4 linked regions of the Lonchura striata genome follow. The protein of the gene in region 1 interacts with the protein of each later gene in a pairwise test. Links are inferred from orthologs where the notes say so. Each region holds a gene or a part of one and is shown in the gene's direction. Other genes may lie near its edges. The genes, in order: AGTRAP, RMDN2, MCEE and ECPAS.

The links.
Region 2: the proteins of AGTRAP (region 1) and RMDN2 interact in binary tests that used the Homo sapiens proteins (3 or more experiments, as listed by UniProt). The two-hybrid records come from large-scale screens. The link is inferred for Lonchura striata from reciprocal best matches to the Homo sapiens genes AGTRAP and RMDN2.
Region 3: the proteins of AGTRAP (region 1) and MCEE interact in binary tests that used the Homo sapiens proteins (3 or more experiments, as listed by UniProt). The two-hybrid records come from large-scale screens. The link is inferred for Lonchura striata from reciprocal best matches to the Homo sapiens genes AGTRAP and MCEE.
Region 4: the proteins of AGTRAP (region 1) and ECPAS interact in binary tests that used the Homo sapiens proteins (3 or more experiments, as listed by UniProt). The two-hybrid records come from large-scale screens. The link is inferred for Lonchura striata from reciprocal best matches to the Homo sapiens genes AGTRAP and ECPAS.

The regions. Positions count from the first base shown.
Region 1 is NC_134626.1:5,566,701-5,574,181, reverse strand, and holds the start of AGTRAP (type-1 angiotensin II receptor-associated protein), read left to right. Parts: upstream 1-4,194; 5' UTR 4,195-4,241; coding exon 4,242-4,268; intron 4,269-7,481. UniProt on the Homo sapiens protein: Appears to be a negative regulator of type-1 angiotensin II receptor-mediated signaling by regulating receptor internalization as well as mechanism of receptor desensitization such as phosphorylation.
Region 2 is NC_134605.1:33,517,296-33,524,922, forward strand, and holds the start of RMDN2 (regulator of microtubule dynamics protein 2), read left to right. Parts: upstream 1-4,519; 5' UTR 4,520-4,629; intron 4,630-4,781; exon of another isoform or gene 4,782-4,902; intron 4,903-5,389; 5' UTR 5,390-5,401; coding exon 5,402-5,856; intron 5,857-7,627.
Region 3 is NC_134613.1:9,525,928-9,534,212, forward strand, and holds the start of MCEE (methylmalonyl-CoA epimerase, mitochondrial), read left to right. Parts: upstream 1-4,846; 5' UTR 4,847-4,878; coding exon 4,879-4,909; intron 4,910-8,285. Other genes in the region: MPHOSPH10 (U3 small nucleolar ribonucleoprotein MPP10), read right to left, coding at 100-241, 521-692, 1,071-1,228, 2,005-2,665, 3,149-3,243. UniProt on the Homo sapiens protein: Methylmalonyl-CoA epimerase involved in propionyl-CoA metabolism.
Region 4 is NC_134642.1:61,498,494-61,506,314, reverse strand, and holds the start of ECPAS (proteasome adapter and scaffold protein ECM29), read left to right. Parts: upstream 1-4,471; 5' UTR 4,472-4,735; coding exon 4,736-4,763; intron 4,764-7,821. Other genes in the region: DNAJC25 (dnaJ homolog subfamily C member 25), read right to left, coding at 428-736. UniProt on the Homo sapiens protein: Adapter/scaffolding protein that binds to the 26S proteasome, motor proteins and other compartment specific proteins. May couple the proteasome to different compartments including endosome, endoplasmic reticulum and centrosome.

The DNA.
Region 1 (7,481 bases):
CTGCTGAGATTGGGAAGGACTTCCAAGTGCATTTGTCAAGACACCACATTAATGTGACCCTCTCCACTCCCCAAATCACCTTGCCATAGTCTGTTTTGCATTGCAATTGCAGGAGGAGGCTTTCCACCAGCATCCAAAATACCTTCACTTTCCCCTCCAATACAGATAATGATTCTGTTTGCTGATTTCCCACTGGGATTTAAAAGGGAGTTTGTAGAGCCGGGCAACTTCTATATGTCCTTCCTCACTACTTATTCAGAAAGGCTCTGTGGCTAATATATATATGTATTTGTGCTGAGCTGGTGCCTTCACTGCTCTCAACTCCATAGCCAGGGGCAAAACTTAGAGATGCTGGTGTCAGCTGCAGTCTTTAGTTGTCTTCAGACTAAACCCCTAGAGAGGGGGAGAAGGGCAGAACTATGAGAGGGGAGCTTGTCTCCACCTCCAAGGGCCAGATAAGGACAGCAGAAGCAATTTTATTAACTCTATGGAATTAACCTATGGAATTGCTATCATCTTACACACCAAGGGTACAGTGTCCTGAAAATGCAAAGGAAAGCATTTCTGCTTTATTAGCTCACTTTTATTGCTATCAGTGTGGAGATCCAGCTGTGTATTAGGCTTTTACTCAGTCTGCACAAGGCAAACCAAAATATTTTAAAAAACAACAGCTTTTGCATAAAGCAGATAATTGCTGGGCATTGGTTGCAGTGAGCTGAAATCACCTGGAGCAGTCTTCTAGTCACAAAAATCTGTTTATCCAGTCTCCTGGGTAACCTGCTTCTCCCTGCAGCCCTTCTTTAACTTACTGCTTATCTTCCTCACCATGTTGTGTTTCTTCATTAAACCTGGGGAAGGGAAGAGAGACAGTGGTTACACAGAGAGGCAAATTACAAGGTACACCAGCACAATGTAGAAATAAAAAACAAGCAACCCCCAGATCACACAGGTGTGACAGACATACAAATGCATAATGTCAGTCACAGCTCTCATTGCTTTCATATCCATGAGATAATTCCTAAATCCCTTGAGTCCCTGACATGCAAGCCCAGGATATAATAAGCAGGGATGAATTAACTGCATGATACACTGATGAACAAAATGAAATCAAGTGCTTTTATTGTACAAGGGGAAATGCTTTGCATTGAACAGTGGACACATCAATTCAAATTATGGCTCACGCTGCATAAATGATAATGAGACTCTGTCTCAGGCTGAGTGAGAAAGCTGAAGGGAGCAAAGACGCCCACATGATGCTACATCCTATCAGTGCTTATCATTCAACTGGGACAGCAGAATTTATGTTCCTAACAAACAGCTCTCCTTTGAAAGATACCTGTCTGGGCAGAAGGGCATCCTAGTGCACTTCGCACACAGCACTGAGCCAGCAGTGTGCCTATTCAGGCTCTTTAGCTTTTCCCCCATCCCAAGTGTCACATATTTTTGTCATTTATGTTGAAATCCAGTCATTCCTTGGCATTACTGGAACCACTAGCATTGATGTTATTTGATACCACCACTTCTGTAGATAAAGACAGGACTTCCCTGCAAGACCCAGTAATGTGTCCATGCAAGACATAATAATGGAAGTGAAGGCACAGCTCATGTGTCATGAGGAAATAGGAGTTATATTTCAATCTTTCATTTGAAAGTGACATATTCAGAGATTCCTGAGGGGACTTTCACAGCCTTTTTGGGTTTTTTACTTTTGTTCTTAGCTATGCAGCCAGTTAGTTTTATCCTCTATGCTTCCTAGCATTTTCTAGGTAATTTCATTTTGGCATTTAATGCTTTGCCTTGGGAAATCTTGAAGTGTGCTGCTTGAAGCAGTCAATAGCACTCAGGACACGGTCAAGGACAGGCTGGATAGCACTACATTTGTGGCTTGTTTGAGAATGTCTGATGGTAGGTTCAGCACTGCACAATTCTCACTGCTTGAACTGGAAATGAGACTGAAGGATGACACATGCATTTCCACATCCAACTTCTGCAATGAACCTCTGACCCAGCTAATTTCTCAGAGGCCCCATCTTTTCTTTAAGAAGGAATAATGACAAGAAAGGAACTAACCTAATAAGACATCACAGCCTTACACTGCAGACAGCACACATTAGGCAAGGATAGGAGGGTTTGAGAAATGTCATCCTGACCTCTGGGTTCTGTTACTTCATTTGCTAGACTTGGGGAGAAGGCTGCTGGTATGAACTACACAGGAAATGGTAAATTACAGCTGAACTGTGTGGGGTTGAATTGGTCACTTAGCAACTTCTCTAGCTCTAAAATGAAACCAGATTTCTTTAGGAATAAGAAATGAAGAACTTGTTATTTGCACCAGGATTTTAGGCAAAGGATACAGTCATTGAGTTCTAGGGGAAAAATCCAGGGCCAAGGGAATCAACTGTGTACCTGCCAGCCATCCTAGCTACTGCCTCAACACCTAAGACTGACCTTAACTTGACTTAGCTGTTGGGTGACGTAGCTGAGCACAGTTAGCACCTCAAAATAACCTTTTTGTTGGTGTCTATCAACAGTTTCTTTGCAACTCCTTAAATTTTGGTCAGACCACTGATATATGCACAAGAACTCTTCCTGCAGAAAGCTGCTAAGTCCTTTGCACACAGCTTTCCCAGACACTGATTACAACCAAAGTATAATGTCCAACCTTGTCTCACTACATTGCATGTGCAAATAGAAGGAAGAGTTTGGCTGCCTTTTTGCAGCCAACAAACTGATCTGTGCACACTTTAGCTGGGTGTTTGCAACCAAGAAACTTATATATGCATATTTTTAACTTGATGGTGGCTTTTGAAACAAATTCACAGAATTGTTAGGGTTGTCAAGTATCCAATATTAGATATTTCATACAAGGAATGGCGCAAATTATGTTTACTACACATAAAAGAGGCATTATCAAGATAATTCTGTTATGCATTATTATAATTTGCGCTAATGAAATATTGTTGTATTGAATCAAGGGAAATATGATTTGGCACGTGTAATATTTAGTTATTACAAACTACACACACCAGCACTGTGAGCTGCCCCCCCACACATATTCGGTTACACCAGAGCCGGGTTTTGTTGGACAATGCCTCATTTACAATCTTATACATGTGGCCGGTCTGGAGATGGGCTGGAACACCTGGGAGCTGATCAATACCAAAGGACCTGGGAGCTGATCAGTCCCAAAGGACCTGGGAGCTGAATAATACCAAAGGACCTGGGAGCTGAATAATACCAAAGGACCTGGGAGCTGATCAGTCCCAAAGGACCTGGGAGCTGATCAATCCCAAAGGACCTGGGAGCTGATCATCCTGGTAACAATCCAAGATTGGGATCACTGGAGTCCTCCGGGCTGATACATCTGAACGCCAGGAAAATCAGGAAAAATCGTCCACACCTGGACCTGGATTGTTCAACCCCGGCTCGGAGAAAAGAACTTTATGAATATGTGGGACTCTGAATAGAAAGAAAAGGCTGAAATCCTGGCCTCGGGCGGAAAATTTCCTGTAAGAACTGCAGGGCCCAGGAGTGTGGTCTGTGTGTGTCCAGGGGAACCTCTGCCAGAGGCTCCTTCCTGTCATGCACCCAGCGCCGAACCCGGGCTCGGCACTGTCCTTTTCCTTGTGGCTGGCTCAGAGAGAATTCAATCCTGAATAAATATTTTATTATTTCACTTTTAATTTGGCTGGACTAATTTGCATTTATAACAGTTCATATCAAGCAAGCAGAGCACCCGGGCTGCCTGTCCTGACGGGACACGCCTAAGCAGCCGCCCCTCAGCGAGCTCCGACAAGGGCCTGTTCTGGGCCCGGGAAGAATTCGATCCTAAATAAACATTTTATTATTTCACTTTTAATTTGGCTGGACTAATTTGCGTTTATAACAGTTCATATCAAGCAGGCAGAGCACCTGTGCTGTCTGCCCTGACGGGACACGCCTAAGCAGCCGCCCCTCAGCGAGCTCCGACAAGGGCCTGTTCTGGGCCCGGGAAGAATTCGATCCTAAATAAACATTTTATTATTTCACTTTTAATTTGGCTGGACTAATTTGCGTTTATAACAGTTCACACCAGGCAGGCAGAGCACCCTGGACACGCCTAGCTCAGCGAGCTCTGCAAGGGCCCAGCACCGCCGGCAGCGCCCGACGCGGCCGGGCCGGGCGGGGCCGGGGGCGGTGTCCCGGCTCCCCCCGCCCCTGAGCCCGGCCCTGCCGCACCGAGCGGCCCCGGGGCCGCTGCCATGGAGCTGCCGGCCGTCAGCCTCAAGGTAGGGCTTGCCCTGCCCCGGGGCCGGGGAGCGGGGCCGGGGGGCTCCTGGGGCGGGTGGAGCCGCGGGCACTCCGGGCAGCCCTCCCCGTATCCTTTCCTCTCGCACGTTCTCCAGCCGAATGTCTGCTCCACGTCCTGGCTGAGGCCCTGCTCGGAGCTGCGGGGCTCTCCGAGGAGGAAAACCTGAAGTTTTCCTCCTTTTTCCTAAGGAGAAGAAACTGAAGTTTTCCTCCTTTTTCCTAAGAAGGAAAAACTGAAGTTTCTACTTTTTTTTTTTTATCACATGCGCAAAGGGTGCAGAAGTTCTGAACGCCAGGAATCCGAGTCGCGGGGAGGGTTAGGTTGGCTATCAGGAAAACCTTTTCCCCAGAGGGTGATAAGGCACTGAACAGGCTCCGCAGGGTCACAGCATCAAGCCTGCCCGAGCTCAAGGAGCATTTGGACAATGAGCTCAAGCACAGGCTGGAGTTCTTGGGGTGTCTTGTGCAGTGCAAAGAGTTGGTGATCCTGATGGGTCCCTTCCAACTCAGTGTATTTTATGATTCTTAGTTAAACCCACCAGGTGATGACTCCAAAGTTTGACCCTACTTCAGAGATATTGCTGAAGTGGCTAAGGACTGTGCAGAGACAACAGCTGGCTATTAACTAGTGTCCATGGAGGTTTCCAGCTCAGCTGACCAGAACTAAGGCAAGATAAACACTGCACTCCTCAATCCTGAGGAGACAAAGTTTTGCTTGTCAGACAAAGTATCTTAGAAAAATAAGTTCACTTACTTGGGGCTTATCATCTGAGACATAACTGCAGTTGCTTCTCTGCTGGGGAGGGCAGGCTCCACTTGTGGGCACTTCGGAAATTTCAATGAATATCTGATAACCAGGGAAAGGAGATATAAGAGACTTAACCAGTAACATAACATTTTTCACTTTTGGAAGAAGCACTTGGTGACAAGCCAGTGGATGTTAAAATCACACTTTGCTTTTGATGTCGATATTTGATTCTGATGTCTTCTGTGCTACCAGATACGTTATATTTTTCTCTTTTTTCTTTCACATTTTCAGAACTCTGAGATTTCTAGATGTTTCTGTCCTTTCCCAGCTTTGCTACTTTGTGATTTCATTTAATGCAGAATGGTTCAGGTGCTTTCTTTGGTTAAAGCTTTGCCCAGAGACTGAAAGCATCACAGATCACATCAGGGCTTTTTTTGCTGGTGATTCGTTAAGCTGTGAGCAGTGGCCTCGGACCAGGTTGCCTATGGGTTGGAAGAGAGAATAGAATTATCTCAGCTACCATTATTAATTCAGCTTTGTACAGGACAGCTTTCATGTGGCTGTATTAAAGAAAAGATTGCTGTTCATATAATGATGAATACCCCTCTTACTAGTTCACCAAGAAAAGCAACTTCCCTTGTTAGAGGCAAGTAAGCAAATGGATTTTTCAAGGCCCAGCTTGTGGATTATATTACATTCTGGAAACTAGCTGATACTTTGCTCTGACAAGTTTGGACTACTGTGTAGTTCCCAGGGCACTAGGAAGATTAAAAGATCTTGCCTTCTGCTTTGTTTTTTAACTTGGTTTGATTATTTTTTTTTTCCACGCTAAAACAACAGTGAAAACTAAGGACATTTTAATTAAAAATTTTGCCAACACGAAATACATGTTCTCCATGAGAAATGAAGATAGGGGAGCTGAAAAACACTGACTTTTCAATGAATGAGCCACAAAGACAACAAAACTAAAATGTTGCTTTTCTTCTCTTGTTCAGACAACTGTTTTCCCAGTCTCTTGCTAGATAAGTGTGAGTTTGTCCTGGGCAAACTGTTTTCAGCATTAAGAAATTCTTGGTTGTGAAGTCTGCCACTTCTGCTCTGAGCTGCAAAGACAGGAATTGGGAGTTAATAGTTGTGCCTGCACTTCATTCTGTACCTGAGTTAGGGCCTGATTCCCTGTAAAATACCACAAAGGTGGGGAAGATTCTTACTCAGAAGAGTAAGTAACACACACTGCTGCTATTCATTGGCATGATCTGCTTACAGGTTCTGTGAGATTATGAAGATGAGTCTTGTGATAGAGATAGTTCAAAGAAAGCTGCATGACTGAGCTGTGCCTGTGCCAGAATGTAGCAGTATCTTAGCCTTGGGGTCTCTCTTTAAGCTCCTTGCAGAGCTGTAAAATTAAGGTAGGCTTTGCCCTGGAGTGGGTGGGGAACATGCTCATTGAACAGGATCTACTGGCTTGGTTTTAACAGCCATGCTCAGCAAAACGGGGGAAGCAGCACAGCCATACTTTTGCCATGACAGCCATGATTATTGAAATAATCATGCAGAGCCTTGAAATACAACGTTTGATCAAGGCTGGACAATGCCCTACAATCCATGTGCCTGGAAACACGTATTTTGTGCTTAGGCATTTTTTAATGCTAAGTCACCGAGTCAAGGAATAATAGAGATGTCTGTATGCCATGTGATTAAACCTCCTACTCAAAGCAAGGCAAACTGCAAAGTTAGATCAAATAGCTCAACTCAAAAATCAGCTGAGTTTTAAAATAAGAACAGAGCCATGTCAGCCCCATTGTATAGTCTGTCCCACTGCTTAAGCACTCTCATTATTATCACTCTGTTATAATAATGAGGAGCATATTCACAGGTGGCCACTCAGATTAATATTTTGGTTTTGTGTGTTCTCAGGTGAATGCCGTAGAGTAGGCGAGCTCACTCTAAAATAGAAATTTAGATAAAACCAAGAAAATAACTTTAATTTGGAACTGTTTCATTTTTAACTTCTTCAAAATTCAGTCTTGTGCTAAGCTCTGTGCTGAAGCATGTTTAAAAGAGTTCCTGTTCCAAAGAGCTTCCCATCTAATGAGACCCTGGCAGACACTGGCTCTTTTTATGCTTGGCAATTAGTTCCATCACATGCTGGGATTTGCAAAGGAGGTAGGAATTCTCCTTAGCTCTCCCCAGTTTCCAATGGGATGCTTTTAATTACATAGCCATCCTTTTTCCCAGAGGAGATGGAGACAAAAGACCCACCTTTCTTATTTTCTGCTCTCACCACTAGTTCATCAATAACTTCAGAGTTATTTTCTCAAAAGAAGAAATGTATGTCTGTCTTATCTACAGACTTAAGTCCTTGGATAGATGGAAAAATTTTAAATTCTTCTGCTGTTTTATTAGAAGAGTGCCTGCAAATTAACTGGTCTCACATAGTAGC
Region 2 (7,627 bases), on another chromosome or scaffold:
TTCATTCAATAAAAGAAAATACAGTGAGTGATGTGGAATACACTGTACACACACACATCTTTATAAAGATTTTGATTCTTTTTTATTTTTAACTCCCAAGGAACATATGCATATATATGTAAAAAATATTTTTATACACATATATTATTTTTCTTTTTATGACTGTTTATATATTTTTCCTATTTTGACCCGGGCACTCCAAGGATAATTTCTTCTTTGTGAAAAAATCAGGCAGTGCTGTCCAACTACATCGGATGTAGCCTTGCTTATTTTTTCCTATAGTTGTCAACACAACATATGCAAACTCTTTTGGGCTGCCAACTCTCATGTCTTACATCAAGGAAACTGAATCATTTACCTTGGCCTAAAACAATTAACAGAGCTTGTATAAATATATTTTGATAATGTCCTTGAGATTCCTGAAGACACAAAGAAGCAGGAACAGTACGTACTTTTTTTTTTTTTTGCTGTTTGAAAAGCTGTGCCGTCAGTGACCATTTGTACTTAACTGAAATTGCAGCACTGGATCCTATCAATCCTATCAGTAAATAAATAAACAGATGATTGTGAGTGCAGTAGAACTGATGAATTCAGGTTTCCTATCAGGTTATAACTTGCAGTTTTGTTTGTTCACATCTGATAAAATGTGAGCTCTGCTTTAGCTTTTCCGGTCCTTGCAAAATGCTTTTCTCCTGTGTGGATTCTTAGTTTTACATCAAAGGATAAGTAATCTTCCCCAATGCAGTGACTCTAATTCAGAGATTTCTTCTTTAAAAGATCAACTAACTCAACAAAATTTGTTAGAGTTTCTCTGTTGAATTTGACTGAGGCTGGCCAAAGATTCAAAAACACTGGGGAGGAGGGAGAGTTATGGTTATATTTGCATGCATTGAGACATAAAGGCAGTCAGCCTCATCTCCCCAGGGAACTGTGCTAAGCAGTACATCTTTATTTCAAGAAAACAGAAAAGATCAGTGTACTCTTACCCATCTCCTTTTAACTTCAATTTATTAATTTTTCATTAGGGGCACTGGACAACTGTTCAGACCAAAAGCAGCAGAAAGTCTGACAGTGAGTGCTTCCCTTTGAGGTAAGATATAACTTTATTTTTGTAGCAAAAAATTCAGAAGAATTTAACCAAACTTGACAGAACAGTGATTTCTGACTGTTCTGGCATCCAGAAAGGATTTCTGGCAGGTTGGTTGAAAGTCTGGTCAAAGGTATTTAAGCTTTTACAATGTTTGGTGACATATTAACAATATTTGACTTTACACCTACAAGACAACTGCTGAAGTAATAAGAACGAACTGCTACTAGCTCATTAAAGGCTTCTGTATCTGTTACAAGCAGTAGATTAATCTCTGGGGGGTGGGGGAGGGAGGGACATTTCAGAAAGAACAGCCTATTATGAAAGAAAATGCAAAGAAGAATTACAGCTAAAGAAATTTATGAAAATTGTAAAACACAAATGCCTTCCATACAGAAGTGAAACCACCAGTAGATTATGCTCACTTTGTTTGGAAACAGCATGCATCAATTACTTACATTGTGTAAGTTATGTACACATTATGTAATGGCTCTCTGATCCATTGAACACAATCACTCAATAATGTGCTAACTTTTCTAATATGGCACAAAAATGTTGTCTAAGTTCAAATTTTCCCAAAAGACCAGTAAACTGCCTGTCCTGGTTTTACAAAAATAGTGCTGTAAGAAGGCTGGTGCCCTATGTAGGTGTGTCAGTGTTGCAGCATTGGTGTGCTAAGTTCATTCCTTTGCATCTGGCTGGGGCCGGGGTGCTAGCCTCCTTGAAACTACTTGGAGTGGCCTTTCAATACTTCAAAAAGTCTACAAAAAAAGAGGGAAAGTGGCTTTTTACTTGGGCAAATAATGATAGGACAAGTAGGTTTAGATTAAAGAAGAGAGATTTAGATTAGATGCTAAGAAGCAATTCTTTACTCAGAGGGTGGTGAGGCACTGGGACAAGCTGCCCAGAGAAGCTGTGGATGCCCCATCCCTGGAAGTGTCCAAGGCCATGTTGGATGCAGCCTGAACAACCTGTTCTAGTGAAAGGCGTCCCTGCCCATCACAGGACAGTTGGAATTTGATGATCATGAACATGCCTTCCAACCCCAACAACTCTATGATTCTACAATTCCATGATCTTGACATATTCTGTCACAATTGGCTGAAATTAAGCTCCATGTTCAGGAGCTACTGGGTGGAGAAAGTGTCATGGTACAGCTTGTGAGAAGGACAACACACGGACAACCTGAGGACATAAACTTTGTGTTCTTAGGAAATAAGGCTGAAAATACACTAAAAATATTTGGGGCTAACCATTTTATAACAGATGGTTGTCTGGACTTGTTTTTTAGGACTTCAGGTACAAAGTTGCTTTTGAACTAGGAAAAATTCATATGCAGAAGAATAGTGCTTTTCTAAAAGCATTTATTTCAGTTTTTTTAGAACATATGTCATATTTAGGCCAATTGAATTATGTCAAATCTAGATAAATTGATGTTTAGTTCTCCAGCTTGGAAAGCTGCTGTGTTTCAGCAAGTTTCTACATATAATCAATAACTTTTTGGGATCAGACAGGTGACCTGATTTTCACAGTTGATACATATCCAGGCAGCTGTAGATGGTAGTTCTCCTGAGACATTATTTTTTGAAAACAGTTCTCCTTGTCTAAGGCCTGCAGCCCAAGACAGTTGCTTTGGAAAATCTTCAAAAATACTCACTTAGCTTTTTGCATCCATAGTATTTTGTTTCAGCTCTGTGCTATGCTTGCCCTCCAGTTAATACTCTTTTCAAAATACTTTCCTGTTTTAATTGGCTTATAGAAAGATTTTGGCAGAATAAACTGAAAAAATATGAAAATAAAAATTAAAGGTTTTCCAACACATCTAGATTACCATTCCTGAACACTTGAAGCACTATCAGCATATGGAGATTCATGTTTTCTTGTTCAATTTTAAAACACTGAGAGATTGTGTATCTTAAAACCATTACTTATAGTGAAATTTGTTAAAATAATTGAGTTTAGTGAAGTTTCCATAAAATTAAAGAGATTTCCATCCTTTGTTTAAAAATTTCTAATTACAAACAGATTATACATTTTGTTATTATTATATTGTAACTGGGAAACCTGCAAAATACTGAAACAGTACTCACTTTTTCATTCTAACAAATTTCTACCTTTGTCTCAGATTGTAGTTTGGTCTCATAAGGGTAATTTAATCCTCGGGATCTTAATGAAGAATTAGTTTAGAGCTGTAGTTGGTTTAAACAATTCTTTGATGATAAATAGACATTACACTGATTTACAATTGCTAATTTGTACTAAGACTGAAAAATCTTCTGTTCTTGGTACCTGTTTTAGGTACCTGTTTTTGTCTTGAACAGCACTCTGCTCACTTTTTAAAGGCAATTAGTATGTTTTTTAAGAATTGTGTTTCTTTGTTTCTGATTGATATGGTTGAGGACAATTTCAGCTGCTAAAAAGCTTCTTCCATTGCACAGACACAGTGGTTTCCATGATGGTTGCCTTAAGCCCTCACACAGAAGAACATGAGTTTTATGCCTGTAAATTCTGGTAGGATGTTGTGCAGAGGCTCTCCACAAGCCTTCAGGAAGATGAATGGTCAGAGCAGGTTGTCCGTGGTGATCCTTCTTCCATCCAAGGCCAGAAACAGGAGCCAGATCCTTTTGTCATAAAGGGCAAAGCAGAGTCTTGTGATAGTCACCAATAAAAGTGATCTCAGATGGGGCACAGGAGCAATACCCCCCACACTCTGATAAATCCAAGTTCTGCCCCTCTACTCTGCTCTGGTGAGATTCCACCTGCAGTGCTGCATCCACCTCTGGGGTCCCCAACACAGGACACTGATCTGTTGGAATGAGTCCAGATGAGGAAAACCAGGTTAAACCGAGGGATGGAGCACCTCTCCTATGAAAAAATGCTGAGAGAACTGGGATTGTTCAGCCTGGAAAAGAGAAGGCTTTGTTGTGAGCTAATTGTGGCCTTCCAGCACCTGAAGGGAACTTTGAGGAAAGATGGGGCAATACCATTTACAAGAACATGGAGTGACATGATAAGGGAAAGTGGGTTCAGATTGAAGAATAAATTTAGATTATGCATTAGTATAAAATTCTTTACTGTGAGGATGGTGAGGCACTGGGACAGATTGCCCAGGGAAGCTGAGGGTGCCCCAAGCCTGAAAGTGTTTATGGCCAAGTTGGATGGGACTTTGAGCAACCTGATCTAGTTGCTCTAGCAGGAAGGTCTCCCTGCTCATGGCAGGAGGGCTGGAACTAGATGACCTTTAAGGTTCCCTTCCACCCTAATCCATTATATGGTTCTATGGTAAGTTCCTCCAGACTTCGGGCAATCTGTAATGCACTGGTGAAATCAGTTTTGGGCCCTTAGATGCCTTAAATTGCAATGAAGCTTTCGTGCCGGGACTGCCCGTCTTCCTGACAACGGGGCGGGGTTTCTCCGTGATTTTACAGCTTCAGGTCTCCACCAATGCAGTGGAAACACAATTTCTCTGTGGCCTAGAAGTAGCAAAAGGTTATATCGGTGAAATCGAGCGGCCACCAGACTGAGGACAGACACACGAACAGGTACACTTGCTCTAGAACGGCGTATTTCGAGTCAGGTCCGTGGCAGGTGCAGCCAGCCCGCCGGGACTCCCAGCGATGCGGGGACCCCTCCTGCGGCGGGCAGCGCGCGGCAGCCGGGCGGCGCGGCCCAGGCCCGGCCCCCTCGATCCGGGTATCGCCACTCCGGGGCGGCTCCGCCGCCGCCCCCTGTGCCACGGCGGGAGAGCTGCGGGCTCTTGGGCCGGACGCGCTGCTGCTCCCGGCTTGCCCCGGCCCGGCGCGGCCCGGCCATACGTACGTACCGGGGGCGGCGCTGGGCCCGGGGCCGGCGCTGCCGGGGCGGCTGGGGCCGGGTCCGGGGCTGGGGCGGCTGCGGGGCTGGGGCAGGAGCCGGAGCCGAACGCGGGGCTCTGGCAGCCTCTCGATGGGCAGGGGCTGGGGGACCGGCGTGACGCCCCTCCGGCCTGACAGCTGGGTTTCCGCCTCTGCAGTGGCGGAAAATCCGATTATATGAGTTTCTCGCATTAAAACAAACAAATCCCTGGATGCTGGGACGGTTAAGAGTGAAGGCTGCAGTCCTGCCCACGTGCCAGCGCCCCTTACACCCCCAAACCCACTTTGGGCTTGTTTTTGCTGCCTAGCGTTGCAGAACCTGCAAAAAGTGTAACTTTGTGTCTGCAGTTCTTCTGCCTTATGCTTTCCTGATTTCAGAGTGGAGTAAATCTCTTGTGTAGAGCAGGGGGAAGCATCTTAAACTGTTGTTGTTTTCTTATAATTCTAGGAGTGTGCAGAAATGTCTCCCTTCGAAAATAAAGGACTAATACTGGGCATAATGGCAGGGACTGCTGGATTAAGCCTGGTGCTCGTTTGGTACCACAAGAACCGAAAACCTGCTGCAGCTGTGTGTGTTCGTGCGTTCCAGGATATAGGTAACAGAATTAATTCTGTGGGCTTGCCAAATGAGGCTCCTAATGAGCAAGGAGCAGTAATGGTTTTACATGGAAGGCAGCTGCAGATACTGGAAAAATTGAATGGGCTGCTACTAAGCGTGGATGAACTGAAGAGAGAGGTGGAATGTCTGAAAGAAGCTATTCCAAAACTTGAAGAACTTGTTCGAAATGAGCTTCAAGGAAAGGGTGGTGTTCAGAGAGTTAGCCCATCACACAGAGCAACAAGGCGGAGAAAAGCAGAGACAACTGCTAGTACAAGAGAAACTACCAGCTCTGAGGAGGCAGAAAGTGAAGGAGGGTGAGTTAATAATAACTTGTATATTCTACTGTACACGTGCAGTACAAGTTGCATCATTACCTATGTGAAACTGTAAACAGGAGCCCTTTAAACGTTTGTTTCAGATTTTATACTTCTGGAAAAGTAAATACAAATGCTCAGATTAAGGGTTTTTAGATCAGTGAAGACTCTTGGTGGCCATCTCTGAGTCTGCACTATGGCTGAAGTTGGTTTAATGCCAGGCATAATACAGATTTTTTTTTTTGAGAGTGTGTTTGGTAACACTGATGCAGTATTGCTACATAGCTATGCAATGAGAGGCAAAGTTCAGAATAATGGTGTAATTTTAAAAGTTCTCCTAGTGTGTCTTTAACAGAGTTAGTTCAAACTGTACAAATGCTCATGTGCTTTTCCTGATAATTGTTTTTTATCAGCCTCACGGATGAGTTATTACAGTGTTCTGCCTAGAAGCATTGCATACTGTGGAAGCTACATCTGCGCAGAACCTCTGTAGAAGTGGCAATGCTTATGTATATGTGCATACACTTTCTGGTGGCTCAAAAAATGACCATGAGGAATTTAGGGTACTGACTCAGTCCGGTAGAAAGTTCCTAGTTTTGATCACATTTTGTAGTTAATGGGGTCTTTTAGTCTCATGAGTTGAGGAACACGCTGGGGGATGATATGTACCAGGAGTCCAGGAGAGGCACTATATTTTTGTCTTGACATTAGTCTCCTGTAATTACAACTTTGTTTTGGTATAATCAGATTAGATACTTACATGCAATTTACTAATACTATGTTTATAGCAACTGAGTGTTTTGAGCTATTTCTCAGAGTGTCTTACACGTCTGTGTAGGCAGCATTATGTCTGTAAATTGCCCATCTTATGTCACCTTTTCTCTTTAAAAATACTTTAACTAACTGTAATATTCTAAAGACAGCTAAGATGTTGCATATTAATGGAATGCTATATTTAAGTTTTTCCACGTTCATTTTCAGTTCCTGCGAGCAGAATTTCTTTTTGTGTTACATCCCAGCCCACATGGTTCACAAGACTTATATTGTGATACCATATTTTAAGACCTGTCAGTTCTATTATGAACCAGTTCTTTATTTTAGGTATTCAGGATTGGCATAAGTATTCAATGACATTCCTCCTTCATCTGGTGTGGGACCATCCTGGTTCTTTTAGTTTCTTAGAGTATTTCATCCACTGGTTAGTTTACAGAGGCCTTCATGTTACAAATAAAATATTCAGAGATGCAGATCAGTTTATGAATTACTAAGTCCACAGATGCAATGCAGGGGTTATTCCCTGTGTAGCATTTGAGAAAATGCTGTTTTCTGATCAGGAGTGATATGTTGCTCTTTGAAAAGAAGACAAGGAAACTTGTGTGCTCAGGTTCTTCTGTGTGACAAAGAAGCTGATGCGGTGAGCCAATACAAGTGATTACAGTGTGCAAGAACATTGAATGTGTCCTTAAGAGAGGCCTTCTCTGACAACTATTTGTGTACAGTCAGATGCAAGGAAAATAATTCAAGGTTACAGTTAGCATTAGTCATTTGGCTATGTTCTTTCCCAATGCTGTTTTTCAATCCCTTATGAAAAGAGGTGGGCTTTTTTCCTATTAACACCTTGCACTTGATGTGTTTGTTTTTCATATCTTTTTTAAATGTGAGATAATTTATTTTCATTTAAGTAAATAGTGGTTTTTTTTCGTACTCTTGCAAATAGGTTGTTAATCCTAATGTGTACAATTGCAATATATATATGTATATATATATATAT
Region 3 (8,285 bases), on another chromosome or scaffold:
CCTGCTCTTGAATCACAGGTGTTTTCAGCAAGGTGAAAGGGCAGAATACCCAGCATGGTCTGGCACATGCTGTGAGCAAAGCCCTGTCCCTCTCCTTACCCATTCGGACTGCGTGGTCAAAAAGCACCGTTTCTTCCAAAAGGCTGTTCTCAGGGCGTTTCTGTCCAGTCACTTCTCCTTTCAGCTGCCAAGGTTTCTCCTCTAACAATGCTTCTTCCAAGCTTTTTATTTTTTTGCTCATCTGGAAAACACAATTTCCTACAAAGTTTAAAACAGAGCTCACTCGTAAACTTGCAGCAAGAAATTAATATTTATTTCAGGTACATGAGGGAATATATGATTGCAGATGTATCTATGTAGATAAACCACATGTCTTCCTTAAATTTTAAATACCTTCTTTTTATTTGCTGGATTCTGAACAAATGAAACAACCAGTAAAACAAAAGTTATTTGCCACTGTTTTGAAGTATTAGCCAAATAAAATATGAACAAAACTCAAAGAAAACCAAACCAAAATTACCTTTTCCTGTCTCTTCTCAAATGATGACTTTATTTCACTGGGACTGATGCCCTTCTCTAATTGCCCTTCAGCTACATCTTCTGTTTCACTGTCATCTGGCAAATTGAAAGTTACTTTTTTAGAAGCTTCTTTATTTCTCATGTGCTCCACCATTTCATCCATATCCTCAAACCTGTAACAACAACATTTAATATAAAAGTTGAGAAGCCTTTTTAATTTTTCACATTAAAGTATTTCAGCCTTTAGATGTTTACTTGCTACAAGTAACTTACAGTTTACAACAGGTTTCAGGGATCCCCCTAAAGGCAGAGGACACTAGGGAAACTTCTGGATAATAAAAATAACTTTGAACAACTCTTAAATGCTTTATTCAAATAAAGTTCAAGGGACAATATTTTAAAAAATTAAGTAAGCTGACAACATAAACCATGAACATACAACAGTTAACTGAGAATGGCACAGTGTGACCAGAGTGAGGGTGGAATTCTCAGTATTTTCTGCTTTACTTCTGTGTAAAATTATGAGAACATTTTACCTGCATTTTACTTACTCAGACATACTTCCTTCATTTTGCTCTTCCATGGCACTGTCTGCTTCCTCTTCCTGATCCTCTTCAGCATCATTAGCTACTAAATCATCATCACCATCATCATCATCAACTGGATCAAAGAAATCTTTGTATGTCATATCTCTTGAACTTTTTATTGGCTAAAAAGGTGAGAGGGAAAAAAAACCCAAACAACAAACCACAGCTGTTAAGACTGACAGAAATCAAAGAGCATCTTGTCTTTTAAAGTCTTTAGTGCCTGGGGAACAGCACTTCTTGTGCAACAGTAATTTAGGGTAGTGCAACAATAATTCAGGGTAGTGATGCCTTAACCTGTGGTAGAGGATCATAGTAAAACTGATTTCTTTTCCTGGTATTTTCAGTTCTCTACCACTTACACATACAGAAGTCAAGGAACTGTACATTTTGCCAAATACTTGCTAGAATGCACACCGATTCCCTGGGTCTATTTCTTACTTGCTTGTGAGAATGTCTGGTAATACTGAATAATAATATACTTATTTTAGAATCAATTATTCATCAATTTAAGTTGTATCACAGTCACAAGGCATGTCCCTGGAAAAAACCCTTTGCTCTGCACCAGCCACCTCAGTGATCCCTAATTGCCAGATGCTGATCTTTTCATTTGCTGGGTCCCCTATTCTGCAATTCTTCAAGGCCTCTGATTTCCTGTGGGTATTATCTCTTCCTTTATTCATGTAAAAGCCCAAGGCCCATGTAAGGAGAGTCTGGAATAGCAGGATCCTATGTCCTTCTACACCAGGAAATTTTCTTACCAGATATTAATTGTTAAAGTAAAGCTTCAGAAGTAATCATTAATTACATAAACAAATGTAACTTGGCAGTTTCTACAGAGTTAAACATTTTATGGTCATCCTAACAGATACCAGATTTTGATTTGAAGGAAAAAACTCACTTTGACTTTAGCTTCTTCTAAGTCTTCATCATCATCTGAGAAAATGTCTTCAAAATAATTAATGTCATCTTCTTCTTCTTCTTTTTCCTTGTCTTCCTTCTCTGCATGTTCTAAAAAAGCTTCCATCTCAGCTAGCTTGAAAAACTTGTCATCCACTACAGATTTTCTTCCCTTCTTTCTCAGTGTGGTTTCCTTGGCTGTTTTAGCTTGTTGCTCCAGTGCTTCAATATCAAAGTCAATATCAGAATCCTCATCACTGTATTTCTGCATTACACTTTCTCTGAGTTTACTTTGCTTTTCTTTAGCTTTAGTTTTATCTTTTTCTTTATCTTTTGTATACACATTCATCTGTTCAGTTTCTGCTTCCATTATGCTGTCTTCCAACTCCTTGTCACTGCTGGTCTCTGCATCAGAGCCATCCTCTTCCTGGTCTGAGAGAAGGCAAAGATCTTCATCCTCGGCATCCCTTGCAATGGATTTCTTGAAGAAATCGAGAACTGCATTGTTCTGGAGCTCTAGTTGCTGCCAAATCTGTTCTTCATCAAACTTTTCTATCACCAGCTCTTTTAGAGGACCCCCACGAACTATGTTACTTCCTTTATTCAAATCGTAGAGAGTCTTTGTCATCGCTCTGAAGTCGGCAGCCAGCCCATCCTGCACACTGAGAGCAGAAAAATAAAAAAGCTTAACACTTTCCACTAAGTCAATCACACGGCTGCTCTTGTTGTACCTGCTTTGGTTCTCTGGTGCTGCAGAACAGCACCTTTCAATAGCTACTGCTGCGGCTTAACTTTCCATACATCGCTTGGAGTACTGCTACTACGCAGTCACAGAAAAAAAAATCACAAAATTATTAATCCTTTCAGTTTCATTACACTTCGTGTAGGAAGTAGCAGCTGGACAGAAAATCCCAGCTTTCTACAGCTGCATCTTACAATATGTTGATCTTATTTAAGCACTCCAGACATTTTGGGCAAGTAAACAGTACAGCACTAAACACCTCAATCGTCCAAGAGCCAGAACCCAGGTTTGAAAGATGTAACTGCGCTTCTCCACCGCCCCACTCCTCAACTGTTACACCTGGCTGGGTGTAAAAGGTTTTCCTCTAGGGCTACCAATGCCTCCCCCCGCCGCCCCGCGGTACCTGAGGAAGCACTCGGGGCGCGCCGCCGCCGCTCCCGCCACCCTGAGGCACGTCTGGATGCCCTGGAGCCCCGGGAGCCGCGGCACCGCCGCCATCGCCCCGCGCGCACGTGGGGCCCGCCCCGCCTCCGCCGCGCCCCGCGCTCAGGCCCGGCCGGCTCCGCGGCCGCCGCCAGGGTTCCGCGCACAGCGGAACTCTGCCCCGCCCCGCTTCCGAGCCGTGCCATCCCCGCCCCCTGAACCAGGCATCCCCGCCCCCTGGCCCAGCCCTCCGTTAGAAGCGCCTCGTTCTCCCAGAACCCCCAGCACAGTATGGCAGTCGTGCGTGGTGGCTGCTGGTTGCCGCCCTGGGAAGGGCGCGGTGTTGCTGCAGACTGGGATTTGCATCAGCACTGGGAAACCTGCTCTAAATATAGTGAAGGTACATTCATCTCACTTCACGGTTTTGAATCTCTGACCTAGATGCAAGGGCTGTTTTAGAACTGCACATTTCCAGCTGATTCTGCCGGTAAAACACCTGATCTTACCTGGTGTCTACAAGTTCAGGCTAACGATGTGCACACACACACACACCTTTCACCATCCACACAGCACTGCCCAGTGCTCTGCAAGTCCCCTCTTACATCATGTAGTTTCTTAAGGTTTATTTTGTAAAGTAAAATTAAGCCCTACACCCACAGACCCTTGTGTTTCCAGCCACCCACACAGCCTTCTGCAACTTGATCCAAAACTGTGACTACTAACCTTTTAACTTCAATACTTCTCCTGCCTCTGCCGCTTTCATGTTTCTTTCCTACCAACATATAAAGCCTTTTCAGTGCAAAGAATGCCCTGCAATGTCACAAATTAAGATTTGAAGTGGCACAAGCTGTTTATCTACTTAGGCTGTATCTCAGCTAGTTGCAGTGTGCTATGCCTGACACAGCAAGACTGCAGCATCAGCAGACAGCCTGCTCACTGTCCTGAGTCTCTCTGGCACAATGCTTCACGGCATCCCCGTCTGTATCAGGAAGAGCGCGGCCAGCAGGACCAGGGAAGTGATTGTTCCCCTGTATTCTGCACTGGTAAGGCCACCCGTGAGTTCTGGACCTCTCAGCTCAGGAAGGACATTGTGAGATGCTGGAGCAAGTCCAGAGAATGGCAACAAAGCTGGAAAAGTCAGATGAGGAGTGGCTGAGGGAGCTGGGGGGCCTGAGCCTGGAGAAAAGGAGGCTTGGGGTGACCTTATTGCCCCCTATAACTTCCTACACCAGGAGGGTCCAGCCAGACACCCTCCTGGTGTCACTTGTCCTGGCAACAGGACAAGAGGACATGGTCTCAAGCTGCACCAGGGGACAGGTTGGACATCAGAAGAAATTTTTTTTCTCAGAAGGGGTGATTAGATACTTGAATGCACTGCCTAGGGAGGTGGTGGAGTTACCTAGGGAGGTCTGGATGTGGCACTTAGAGCTCTGGTTTAGATGACATGTTCAGTAATAGGTTGGACTCGATGATCTCGGTCGTCTTGTCCAACCTAACTGATTCTGTGGGATTTGCTCAGAAAACTTCCTCGGCAAATGCCGCTTCCTACCGCAGCGCTCTTCGGCACGCTGTCTCCGAGGCCCGGGCAGCGCCGGCCCGGCCCCCGCGAGGCTCCAATGGCGCGGCGCGGCGGGCCCGGCCCCCGGCGAGGCTCGGCGCTGCCGCGCGGAGGGCGCCGGGGGCGGCGCCGCCGCGGCCGAGCGGGCGGAGATGGCGGCGGCGCTGCGGCGCGGAGCGGCCGGTAACGCGGGGCGGCGAGCGGGGCGGCGGGAAGGAGGGGCGGCGGGCGCGGGGCTCGGGGTGCGCTCCGGCCTGGCGGATCTCCCCGGGAGAGCTCCGCAGGCCGAACGAAGCTGCCGCTTCTGCAATAAAAACAAGTTCTCCCGATCCAGCTGACGGGCGCATTAACCACTGACATTAGCTGCGTAGGGTAAACTTAGAGAGCAAACGCCAAGCCTAAAGTGCAAGGAGGAACTTGTCTTTTTGATGTGTGGTTTGGAGGTAAAATTCAAAATAATTTGCCGTTTATGGTAATAACCTGTACTGTTCACTCTGGTAGGGTAGGTTTAACTCACAATACCTAAAACATTTTACTTGGTAGCCCCAGACCAGGAGAAAAGTGAATGAGAGGCTCAATGCTGTCAGTGATCGATCAGTAGGATACTGGGAATGAAAACACCTTCGTATGATTGCACTTTGAAGGAAGGAACAAAAGCCACAGCACACTGAGACTCAGTTCCCTTGAGCTGTGGAGCCCATGTAATTCCCAAAAGCCCCATCCAGCACAGCAGAGCAGTACTGTGAGCCCAGTTAGTCTCCAGAGTTCCCAGGATGCTCACACCACCTTGAAATTGCTGGAATTTAAGAATGACCATACTATGCCCTTTTCTCCATTTGGCCCAGAGAGTGAACACACAGCCCCTATGTGCCAGATTGGTAACAGCATCCTCTCCATGCTTTGGGAGTTTGTCACCACCTGAAAAGAGTGACGATAAAGCAGTGCCCATGACAAGGTTCTTGCTGCAACCCACTGTTGTAAAACCTTCCCATAGAGAACGTGACTGAATTCAGTTTGGTTTGGCTTGTATTTGATTCCTTAGTTTCCTTGATTAGGTCAATGAGCACTAATCCACATCAGAAGCAAAAAACGAGGCTACGAATAAACATTTGAACTTGTTACTTTATAATCTGCTCGGTTGAAGAATGTAGCCCTTACTTGGTACAACTGTATATTTAAACTCTGATGTGCATACTACAAGTAAATGAGTCAATCATCAATAGAATGATCCCCAAATAGATAAATTTAAAAATATTCTTCAAATGAAGCTGAAGAAAGTTATATACTATAGAACTAGTTTTGTGATGCATATATAAATACAAGTGTTTCTTTCCTGGAAACGTGGAGATGATGGGGTTTCAATCTGAAGTTTGCTGAAAAGCTTTCTTTTTCACTGCAGGGCCATTTTTGATTATTGGGTTAGAAGAAGATTAGAATTTTAAGTAATCTATATAGTTACTGATCTAGATAATGTAAGAAAAACAAACGCTTTTTGTTTAACCTCAGTCAATTAAATTATGGATTTAAAATTAACACTCTATGCATCTGACTAGAGCTAGGACTTCATAAAATAAGCGCTTATATGAGTGAGTATTTAAGTATCTTTGACTTTACAAGAATCCTAGGAATATACTTCACTTTTTCAGTCTATTGTCTTCCCAGGAAACAGCACAAGAAATCAAATATTTCTGGGGCAGAACCCATAAGAAAGAGCATTTTCTATTATTTTTTCTAGTGCTTCACAAATAGCTGAGTAACAAACAGTCAGTGTCTTTGTCTATTTACTTGAAATAGAAAAAAAAACAAATTAAATTACAATAACTGTGTGGTCATATGTGCCCTGTGTAAAGTGCAACAAGAACTACAGATGTCAGATGTAAAATAATGGAAAAATCCTTGCCTTCCCATTAGTAAAGACTGCTTGAAAAAATATCTACATTAGTAGTATTTCTGTTGAACTGCAGTCTGTTAATATTTGGAAGAAAAAATAAAACAGTAAAAGGCTCTGGAACACATAATAAATTATATAGTAAGGGATCCTTCTCTTTCAAAGGATTTTTCTTATTTAGAGAATACTGCCTTCCTCCAAGTGGAAAAATATCTCTTGCTTCAGCAAGAATGTCTTAAGAAATTACAGTACAAAATGGAGCTACTTCAGTAGAAGCTTAGGTGGGCAGGAAAGACTGTATAGCAGATATTGGGGGGTTGTTAGTTTTGTAACACATTTATTTACTCTGGTTAATTGTCAAGCCCTATACTAGTTAATTAGCCATGCCTTTAATCATGCACCTTATGCATTTGAGGCACTGCACAGTGCTGCTCCCTCACAGAATAACATGATTCACCCTGATTCAGCTGCATTGACATGGCAAGTGTTTCCACAAAATAGTTTATGCACAGACATTTGAAAAACAATTTTTTTTTCATGTGGAAATTTCAAAGGGATTTTTTTTAACATGTAAGAAGTTGAAAAGCAGTTGCTGTCCTATACCAGTATGATAGCCTAAAGGTACTAAGTGAAAGAATTGTCCAGAGCTTCTGGCTGTGATGAAGGAGATGATAGGATGGACTGTGTGAAAACCTGGCAAGAAATACTGCAGGGCAGTTACTTGCAGCACTGGAAAAGTTTCTGTAAATACTTAATGTAGGATGTTGATTTATTATCACAAAAAATTGTGAATAGACTTATTTTTGTGATAGAGTCCTCGCTAATATGCACATTGCATGTTGGAATTTTAAGTGTCAAATACATGCAAAGATTTCTTCCTCCATCCCAGCACCATGCTCAGAAAGACTTAGGTTTAAGGATTTATCAGTGTTTGAAGAAAAATTAACTGATAGCCGTAAATCTTGAATTCCTGTGGAATGGTAGCTCTCAGTTCCATACTGTGAAGCAAAGCTGATTTAATTAATTACAGCTATTACTGACCTTACAGAGCACCAAGAGCCCAGACAGGCTATCTATCCTCAGTGTGTTGCAATGCATCCAGAATCTCAGTGCATCACTGGCACAATCTCTTAGCGAAATAGCACATTTGTGACTTTAACGGAAAGAACACCTCAAAGACTCCCAAAAGGATAAGATGCCTCTAGCTTGGCCTTGAGGCATTGGGAGCTCTGACTTGGCCTAAAGCAAACTGGCATGGAATTATAATGTAGCTTTTATGAATATGTCTTTTAATCTAATTCTAATTTTGGTTCTAGAAACAGCTGATACTATAAAAATTTCTCCCCACCCCCAGTCCCTCTAGATTTTGGTACTGACAGATTGATTTTTAAGGTAATTAATTTGCAAGTACCCTCATTTTTTATCTTTATTTTTTGTGACCTTTTTGTTTGTTTCCTATAATTTTGAGATGCATAGGCATATCCGTATTTCTTTCTTCATTTCTTAAGAAGCTCTGAAAATTTCAAAAGTCACTTTTAAACACATTATGCAGTTGGCCTTTACAATTGGTCCTGTTTTCCTCTTTTCAACAGGTATATGTAAAGATTTACAGCAAATTTGAGTCAGCTTTGGGTTTTTATTTATTACTCTTTTAATAGGTCTGAATATTTA
Region 4 (7,821 bases), on another chromosome or scaffold:
AAAAAAAAAAAGAAAGAAAGGAAAAAAAAAGTTCCCTTTCCCTTTTCTAATCCCCTGTAGCCTTAAAACACTTACACGTCTCCTTCTTCCATTCCCGGGTTCCATCTTTGCATCTTTGCCAAGTCACACATGCTTTGCCCTGAGAAGCCTTCCCTTACAGATCCCACATGCTACTCCAGTCACTGCTACTTTTAAAGGCATATCTCCAAGATAAAGCCTAGTCGGTCGGTTATAAATAAATAAATAAGTAAATAAATAAATTTGAAAACAACCCGTTCTAGACACAGAAGGACTTCCAAGCGCACTCCATCCTCCTTCCCGCACTCTCGGGCTGGCTACGGAAGGAGGCATTTCGGGGTGTTTCTCCTCCCCTCCCTGACTGCTTACCCGAGCGGCTCCGGCCGCGGCGGCGGTCCCGCTCTCTCACCTTGAGGGTCTCGTAGGCGGCGGCGATGAGCAGGAACTTCTCGTGCGCCGCCTGCGCCCCGCCGCCCTCGCTGCCCGCGGGCTCCCCGCGGTAGCGGTCGGGGTGGTACTGCCGGGCCAGCTGCCGGTAGGCGCGGGCGATCTCCGCCTTGCTGGCCTGCCGGCTGACTCCCAGCACCTCGTAGCAGACTCGGCGGCCGCAGTAGAGGCGGTCGGTGAGGCCCCGCGCCGGCCGCGGCAGCAGCGCCGCACACAGGCACAGGCAGAGCGCCCAGCGCCCGCCCGGACGCCGCCGCGCCGCCGCCGCCATTGCTCCGCCGGGGCCGGGCCGCGCTCCGCGCCGTGCGCGCGGCCGGCGGCGGGGCCGGCGCGGGAGGGAGGCGGGGCCGCGCGGGGCGGCTCCTCCGGGCCCGGCTCCTCCCGGGCCGGCTCCTCCCGGGCCCGGCTCCTCCGGGCCCGGCTCCTCCCGGGCCGGCTCCTCCCGGGCCCGGCTCCTCCCGGGCCCGGCTCCTCCGGGCCCGGCTCCTCCCGGGCCGGCTCCTCCCGGGCCGGCGCCTCCCGGGCCGGCGCCTCCCGGGCCGGCGCCTCCCGGGCCGGCGCCTCCCGGGCCGGCTCCTCCCGGGCCGGCTCCTCCGGGGCCCGGCTCCTCCCGGGCCCGGCGCCTCCCGGCCCGGCGCCTCCCGGGCCCGGCTCCTCCGGGCCCGGCTCCTCCCGGGCCCGGCGCCTCCCGGGCCCGGCTCCTCCCGGGCCGGCTCCTCCGGGCCCGGCGCCTCCCGGGCCCGGCTCCTCCGGGGCCCGGCTCCTCCGGGCCCGGCTCCTCACGGGCTGCCGCGGCCCCGGCTGCGGCCCCGGCCCCCAGTGCGCCCGTGCGTGGCGCCCGCGCCAGCGGAATCCTGGGATGCATTGGGAAGAGCGCTGCCAGTGGGTCTTTGAGGTGATCCTACCCCCTGCGCTCAGCCCTGGGCAGGCCGCGTCTGATCTGCTGCGGGCAGCTCTGACTCCGCAGCTCAAGAAAAACACGGGGTCCAGAGTAGGCCGCAAAGGTGATTTGGGGTCTGGAGCGTTTTTCTCATGAGGAGAGACTGCAGGAGCTGGGCCTGTTCAGTCTGCAGAAGAGACGGCTGAGAGGGGATTTCATTAATGCTTATAAACATCTCAAAGGCAGATGCCGAGAGGATGGTGCCAGACCTTTCAGTGATTCTCAGCGGTAGCAGGAGGAGTGAAGGCCATAAGCACAAGAAGTCTCACCTCGACACGAGGAACAATTTTACATTGAGAGTGGCAGTGCACTGGGACAGGCTGCTTAGGGAAATCACAAAATCTCCCTTCTGGAGGTGTTCAAAACCCACCTGGACACATTCCTGTGCCATATGCTTTAGGTGACCCTTCTCCTGGCAGGAGGATTGGAGTAGGTGATCTCCAGAGGTCCCTTCCAATCCCAATGATTCTGTGATTCGTCAGGGAAGAAACCTTTAAAGTACTTCCTGAGCCTGTACCTGGTTTAGGCTTGCTCCTGGCAGAGCTCAGGGTCTGACCACCTGTCTTGTAGGGCCCACCATAATTTAACTGGCCCCACTTTGGGAACTGTCCAGTACACTGCCTCCATGGCACGGAATCATAGAGAAAATTCCTCCTGTGGGTGCCCAAAGACATAATTGATAGGTGACCTCATCTATGGCTAGAAGTATACTAAGGGAGGGTGACGAGGTTCCACCTGAACATGAGGAAGAATTTCTTTACTGTGCAGGTGACTGCACACTGGAACAGATTGCCCAAAGAGGTTGTGGAGTCTCCCTCACCCGAGAGATTCAAGAACTGTCTGGATGCAATCCTGTGCCATGTTGTCTAGGATGCCGTGCTTAAGCAGGGAAGTTGGACCAGATATGCTTCCAGCCTGACCCATTCTGTGATTCTGAGTGATTGTGTATGCACAGCTCCCTCAAATAGTGGCCTCGACAGCAGGTCTGCCACCTGTGATATTGCATACCCAGACTTCTCCTGGAAAGGAGGATTACATCTCTGCTCTGGTGTAACCAGCAGGAGCATCATCACCTCAGTGTTTGACATTTCTTAGGAAAGTAGATATGGGCTTGATGCTGCAAATACCACAAAAATGGTCAGCTCATCAGAGCATGTGCTGTTCTTAAAGCTATTATAGCTAGAAATGAGAGTGCCTCCCATGTGGCTGGTCTCCTCCTCCACCTGTCTCCTTTCTGCAATAATAAATGCTTATGATTTACATCAGTTGTGGATGGGTTCCAAATCTGCTTCCTCAAAAAAAAAAAAAGGTCCACCTCTTTACACCTCATTAGAGCCCAGTCTCTCATGACTGGAGGCTGTGAGTCAACTCCTCAGACCATGACCTTAAAAAATTGTGGTGGGTGCCTAGTGCCTACCAAGCTGCTCTATCCATTCCCTTTCTCAGCTGGATGGGAGAGACAGAACAAGATGGAAAACGACTTGTTGGTTGAGATCAGGCAGTTTACTAAAGCAAAAGCAAAAACTTATGCATACACAAGCTAAGAGGAAGGAAGTAATTTTATTCGTTACTTCCCAGCCACAAGCCATGTCTGACCATTTCCTGGGGAGTGGGACTTCAGGATCGTAGAGATTGCTTTGGAATGCAAAAACTGTAAAAAAATGAATGCCCCCCCCCCCCCCCCCGTTCCTCCTTCCTCCCTCTGCTTTTGTATCTGAGCTGACATCATATACCATGGGATAAGGCTTTGGTCAGTTTGGGTCAGCTGGCCTGGTTGTGTCCCCTCCCAGGATCTTGCCCACCCCCAGCCCCCTTGAATTTTGGAGACACAGTGCTGATGCTCAGCAATAGTCAAAGCTGAGCAGCAGCTGGTGTGTTATCAGCACCTTTCCAATTATCAACGCAAAGTGCAGCAAGATGGGGGCTATTGTGGGGGACACGAACTCCAGCTCAGCCAGAAACATTGCACAGATGGAACAAAACCGGTACATGGACGCTTTTGTCGCCTTTTTTTTCCTGACTCGAGAAACAAGCTAGTCCTCTTGACACCTCTCGCTTGAGCTCACGTCTGCCTTGGGACTCCCGTGGAGCTTTAGGGAGCCGTCAGCAGCTGCCCCGTGCCGGCTGCAGGAAGCGGGGAGGGAGGCGCGGGGCGGGCGCCACGCCGTCCGCTCCCCGGCATGCTGCCGGGATGCTCCTTACAGAGATTCCATATGGCATGGCAGAGTTTGGGAAAAAGACGCAGCGTGGCTGTCTCTCTGAGTAACCCCAGAACGGCAGGGGACGAATTCTACGGAGCAGCTCTATCCCTTCGGGAAATGGCTCTGGAAGAGCGGCTCAGCAGCGGCAGCCGGGGGGCGTGTCCATGCCGCTCGGTGGGCGTGTCCATGCCGCTCGGTGGGCGTGGCCATGCCGATCAGTGGGCGTGTCCATGCCACTCGATAGGCGTGGCCATGCTGCTCGGTGGGCGTGGTCCTATCGCTCGGTGGGCGTGACCATGCCACTCGGTGGGCGTGTCCATGCCGCTCGGTGGGCGTGGTCATGCCGCTCGATGGGCGTGACCATGCCACTCGGTGGGCGTGTCCATGCCACTCGGTGGGCGTGTCCATGCCGCTCGGTGGGCGTGTCCATGCCGCTCGGTGGGCGTGGCCATGCCACTCGGTGGGCGTGGCCATGCCGCTCGATGGGCGTGGCCATGCCGCTCGGTGGGCGTGTCCATGCCGTTCGGTGGGCGTGGCCATGCCGTTCGGTGGGCGTGGCCATGCCGTTCGATGGGCGTGGCCATGCCGTTCGGTGGGCGTGGTTATACCGCTCGGTGGGCGTGGTTATACCGCTCGGTGGGCGGGGCCTTCCCGGCTGTGGGCGGGGCTCTCCGCCCTTCCCCTGCCAACGCACCCGCGGCCGCGCGGGGGCGCCCTGCGCCGCTCCCGTCCCGTCCCATTGCATCCCTGCGCCGCCGTGCCGAGCGCCGAGCCGGCGCGGCCGCCATGGAGGTCAGCGCGGACTCCGGTCAGTGCTGCCCCCGTAAACCTCCTCCTCGGGGCCCGCCGGGCGGGGCGGCGGCGGGGCCGGGCCGTGTACGCGACGGGGGCGGGCGGTGGGGACGGCAGGTCTCTCTAAATATAAACTGGCGGTGACAGAAGCTTGCCACCGTCGAGGGGAGCCGCCGGGAGCAGGAGGAGGAGGAGGAAGAGGAGGAGGGGGTGGAAGAGGTGGAGAGGGAGGAGGAGGAGGAGGAGAGACGCGGCCGCCGGCCCGGTGCCGGTGCCGGAGAGGGGCGGGAGGCGCGGTGCGTCTCTCGCCGCCTCCCCTCCCTCCCCAGCCGGCAACATGGCCGCGGCCGCGCAGGACGAGCTCAGTAAGTGCCCGCGGCGCAGGGACTCGCAGCGGGGGCTGGCTGCCGGGCGGGCGGGCGGCCCGGGCTTTCCCCACAGCGGGTCTCCTCCGCGGTGGGGCCCGGTGCCCGGCCCGGCCGGGCGGTGACGGCAGCGGGGCCGGACCGGCCGTGGGAGGCCATTTCGGGAAGCGGAAACCGGGAGCAGCGGTACCTCCCGCATCCCCGGCCCCTCACGCCGGCTGCGTGACCTTGCGGGGAGGCAGCGGAGGCTCCTGGCCGGGACGGAGCCTGGGGTCGCCGGGACCACGGGCGCCGCGGGAGCGGCCTCGCCCACCGCTCCTGAACGGGCACAAGCGGCGCCGCCTCTGCCCGTCGGTACTTGGGCCCTGCGTCGTGCGAGCGCCGTGTCTGAGCCGCGGCGGCGGCGCGGACGCAGCGCAGCTGGCGGTCCCGGGGCGCGCTCTCGCCGCGCCGCGGGCGCGGCGCCGGGCCGCGGGTACGGAGCGCGTCGCGGCCGCCCCTGCGGCGCCCGGCACAGCACCGGAGGTGCCGCTGCCGCCGAGCGTTCCAGATAGCGGAGCGCGGCCTGGCTTCTTGTCCTCTCCAGAACCCTTTCTCAGAGACTCTGGGGAAGCGCCCGATCAGCTGCTCTTTGGATAAGCTTATGGAGTTTCAAAAAAAGCGGTTTCTCTTCCCTTGTTTTTCCTGGCCTGGCGTAAAGATGGTTCTTACCTGTGAAGAGTTAATAGCAAGATAGCATATGACTCAGCCAAATGAGAGGGCCTCTGGTTACCCTGAAATAGTACTTGGCAGTCGTCAGAGAGAAAGGGCAAAAGAAATACTTTGAGCATATTTGAGTACTGTTAGCTTTCAGTACTAGAGAATTTCTATGTGCTGGTTCTTCATTTGTTGTTTATTTTTCCATTGTTGGTTTTTTGGGGTTTTTAATTTTTTTTTTTTTTTTTATTGTGAGCTTCTGTGTAGACAACATCCTAATGCTGCTCTTTGTTACTAGAAGTAGGCTGAGTGATATGATAATGGTGGGGATCTCCCGTATGTAGCCAAGGTCCCATGGTGGAGTAAAGAAAAATCTTGATCCTGTACTAATCCTAGAACTGGAGGACCGAAATGCCAAGATATTTTTTCCATTGACACCTGGGATAAATTGATGTAAGGACAGTTCAAGCTCTTACTGCTGCTGTCATCCAAGAGATTCTGTTGTTAGATTCACAATGCTATTGTGATTCTCCTTGGTGAAACCAGCCAATATCTTCCTTGTGACTCTGTGGCTTTTATCTGTATGTAATCTAACTTTCCAGGCTCCAGATCTGATTTTGCAAAAAATTAGTCCTCAGCCGTGTGCCTGTTGCTACACAGGACTTTCTCTTAAGCTGGACTAGAAAGACACATATCCCTAGACTACGAGTCACATTAATAATTACGTTATTTTGCTCAGGTTATTTGACCATGACGTTCTTCAAAAATGAGACAGTTTTATTGGTTTGCTTAGAAATATTTTCTTTGGGTGGGAGGAGGAATCTCTTTTTGGAAATTTCGTTTTGTTTAATTTGGGTTTTTTGTGGTACCTCTCTGTCACTGAATAGAAAGTACAGTATGCTTAAATAAAAAATTAATTAAAGCTAATGGAAAAAAGAGTAACTTAATGTAGAGAAAGAGAGAGGGAAACTAAGCCTCCGTGTGGGCTTGCTGTCTTGATACATTCAAATACTTACATTTCAGCATATTTGGAAAGAAAGCCTTTATTTTATAGGATGATGATTGATGCTCCTACCTCTCTCATCTGATCAGAGTCACAGGGGTCTCTGGAAATGGGGAAGAGCACAGCCGGAGTGCACTGTAACAGATGACTAGTCCTGGAATAACAAAAATAATTACCATTAGTTCTAGGTTGGAAAACCAGGTTTCCTTGCTTTATATTCATGTAGCATTGTAAATGCCTGTAGGAAGCTTTCATCTATAGCCCCTGTCAAACATGGAAACTCTGTCTAAATGCTGTGTAAATGATGCTCCTCGTTTTAGAGGACAGGTTGTTTGAAGGCAGCATAAGATATGGCAGTTTAAAAATTAATGCAAAATTAGTAACTTGGCCCTAAAGCCACAAGAGTTTAGATGCAAGAGGAGCAAGCTACTCTTGAGTAATAGTAGTCATCCATTCAAATGGAGAACCTGTACCTGGAATATTGCAAATTGCAGCATGGGTTCTGATGTACTATTCAAGCTTTTACATAAGCTTTTTTATAAAGAGAAAGAATATAATGGGAAAAAAACCCATAATATAGCCTTCCTCCAACAGGCTTTCCTAGCCTTTTCCAGGCAGATTGACTGCTTGGTGAGTGGCCTGTTTGTACAAGTGCTCCCTTAAGTCTTTTGGTTATAGGCATAAAAGGGGTTACTGGTAGAGACAAGAATAGCACCAGCAAATCCTGACTCACTGTTTGCTGCTATAATCATACTAGTTATATTTTTTCCCAGAGTCTAATAACATTTGAACAAGAATTTGACTCCTATTTTGGTAGTTGCACAGCAGATGAGAGCTTTATTCTTCTGCATGTGGAATAATGCAGAAGCAATTGCTCAATTGCTTAGTTATGGAGAGACACAAGGGCGTGATAGACTTTTTGCTTTAGTAGGAACCTGCCCCTAAAACTACTCCTGTCATCCAAAAGGTCAAATTGAAATGCTTTTTGTACTCTTTATTTGATATAGGGCCATTTGGAGAAAATGCGGAGAGATGCTTGTGCATGTTCAGGTAATAGAGCAGGGTCTCAGAGGTTTTCGTCTGATTTACTGAAACTGTTGTAGAAATGATTTATTTTGTAACAGTTCCACCAATCTGTCAAACTATCAAGTTCTCAGGAAACTGAAAATAAATTCTGACTTCATGCATAGATCTGCTCTGTTCTGCAGACAACTTAGACGCTGCTTTTAGTTCCTCAGATGTTTGTGGTTAACAGTCAAACAAAGTACAGCTAGTTTGACATGTCCTAGCCCCAGCAGTTTCTTGAGTCAGTTTTCATAAAAGGAAGGGTGTGTGTTTTACTTGATACTGTGCTACACA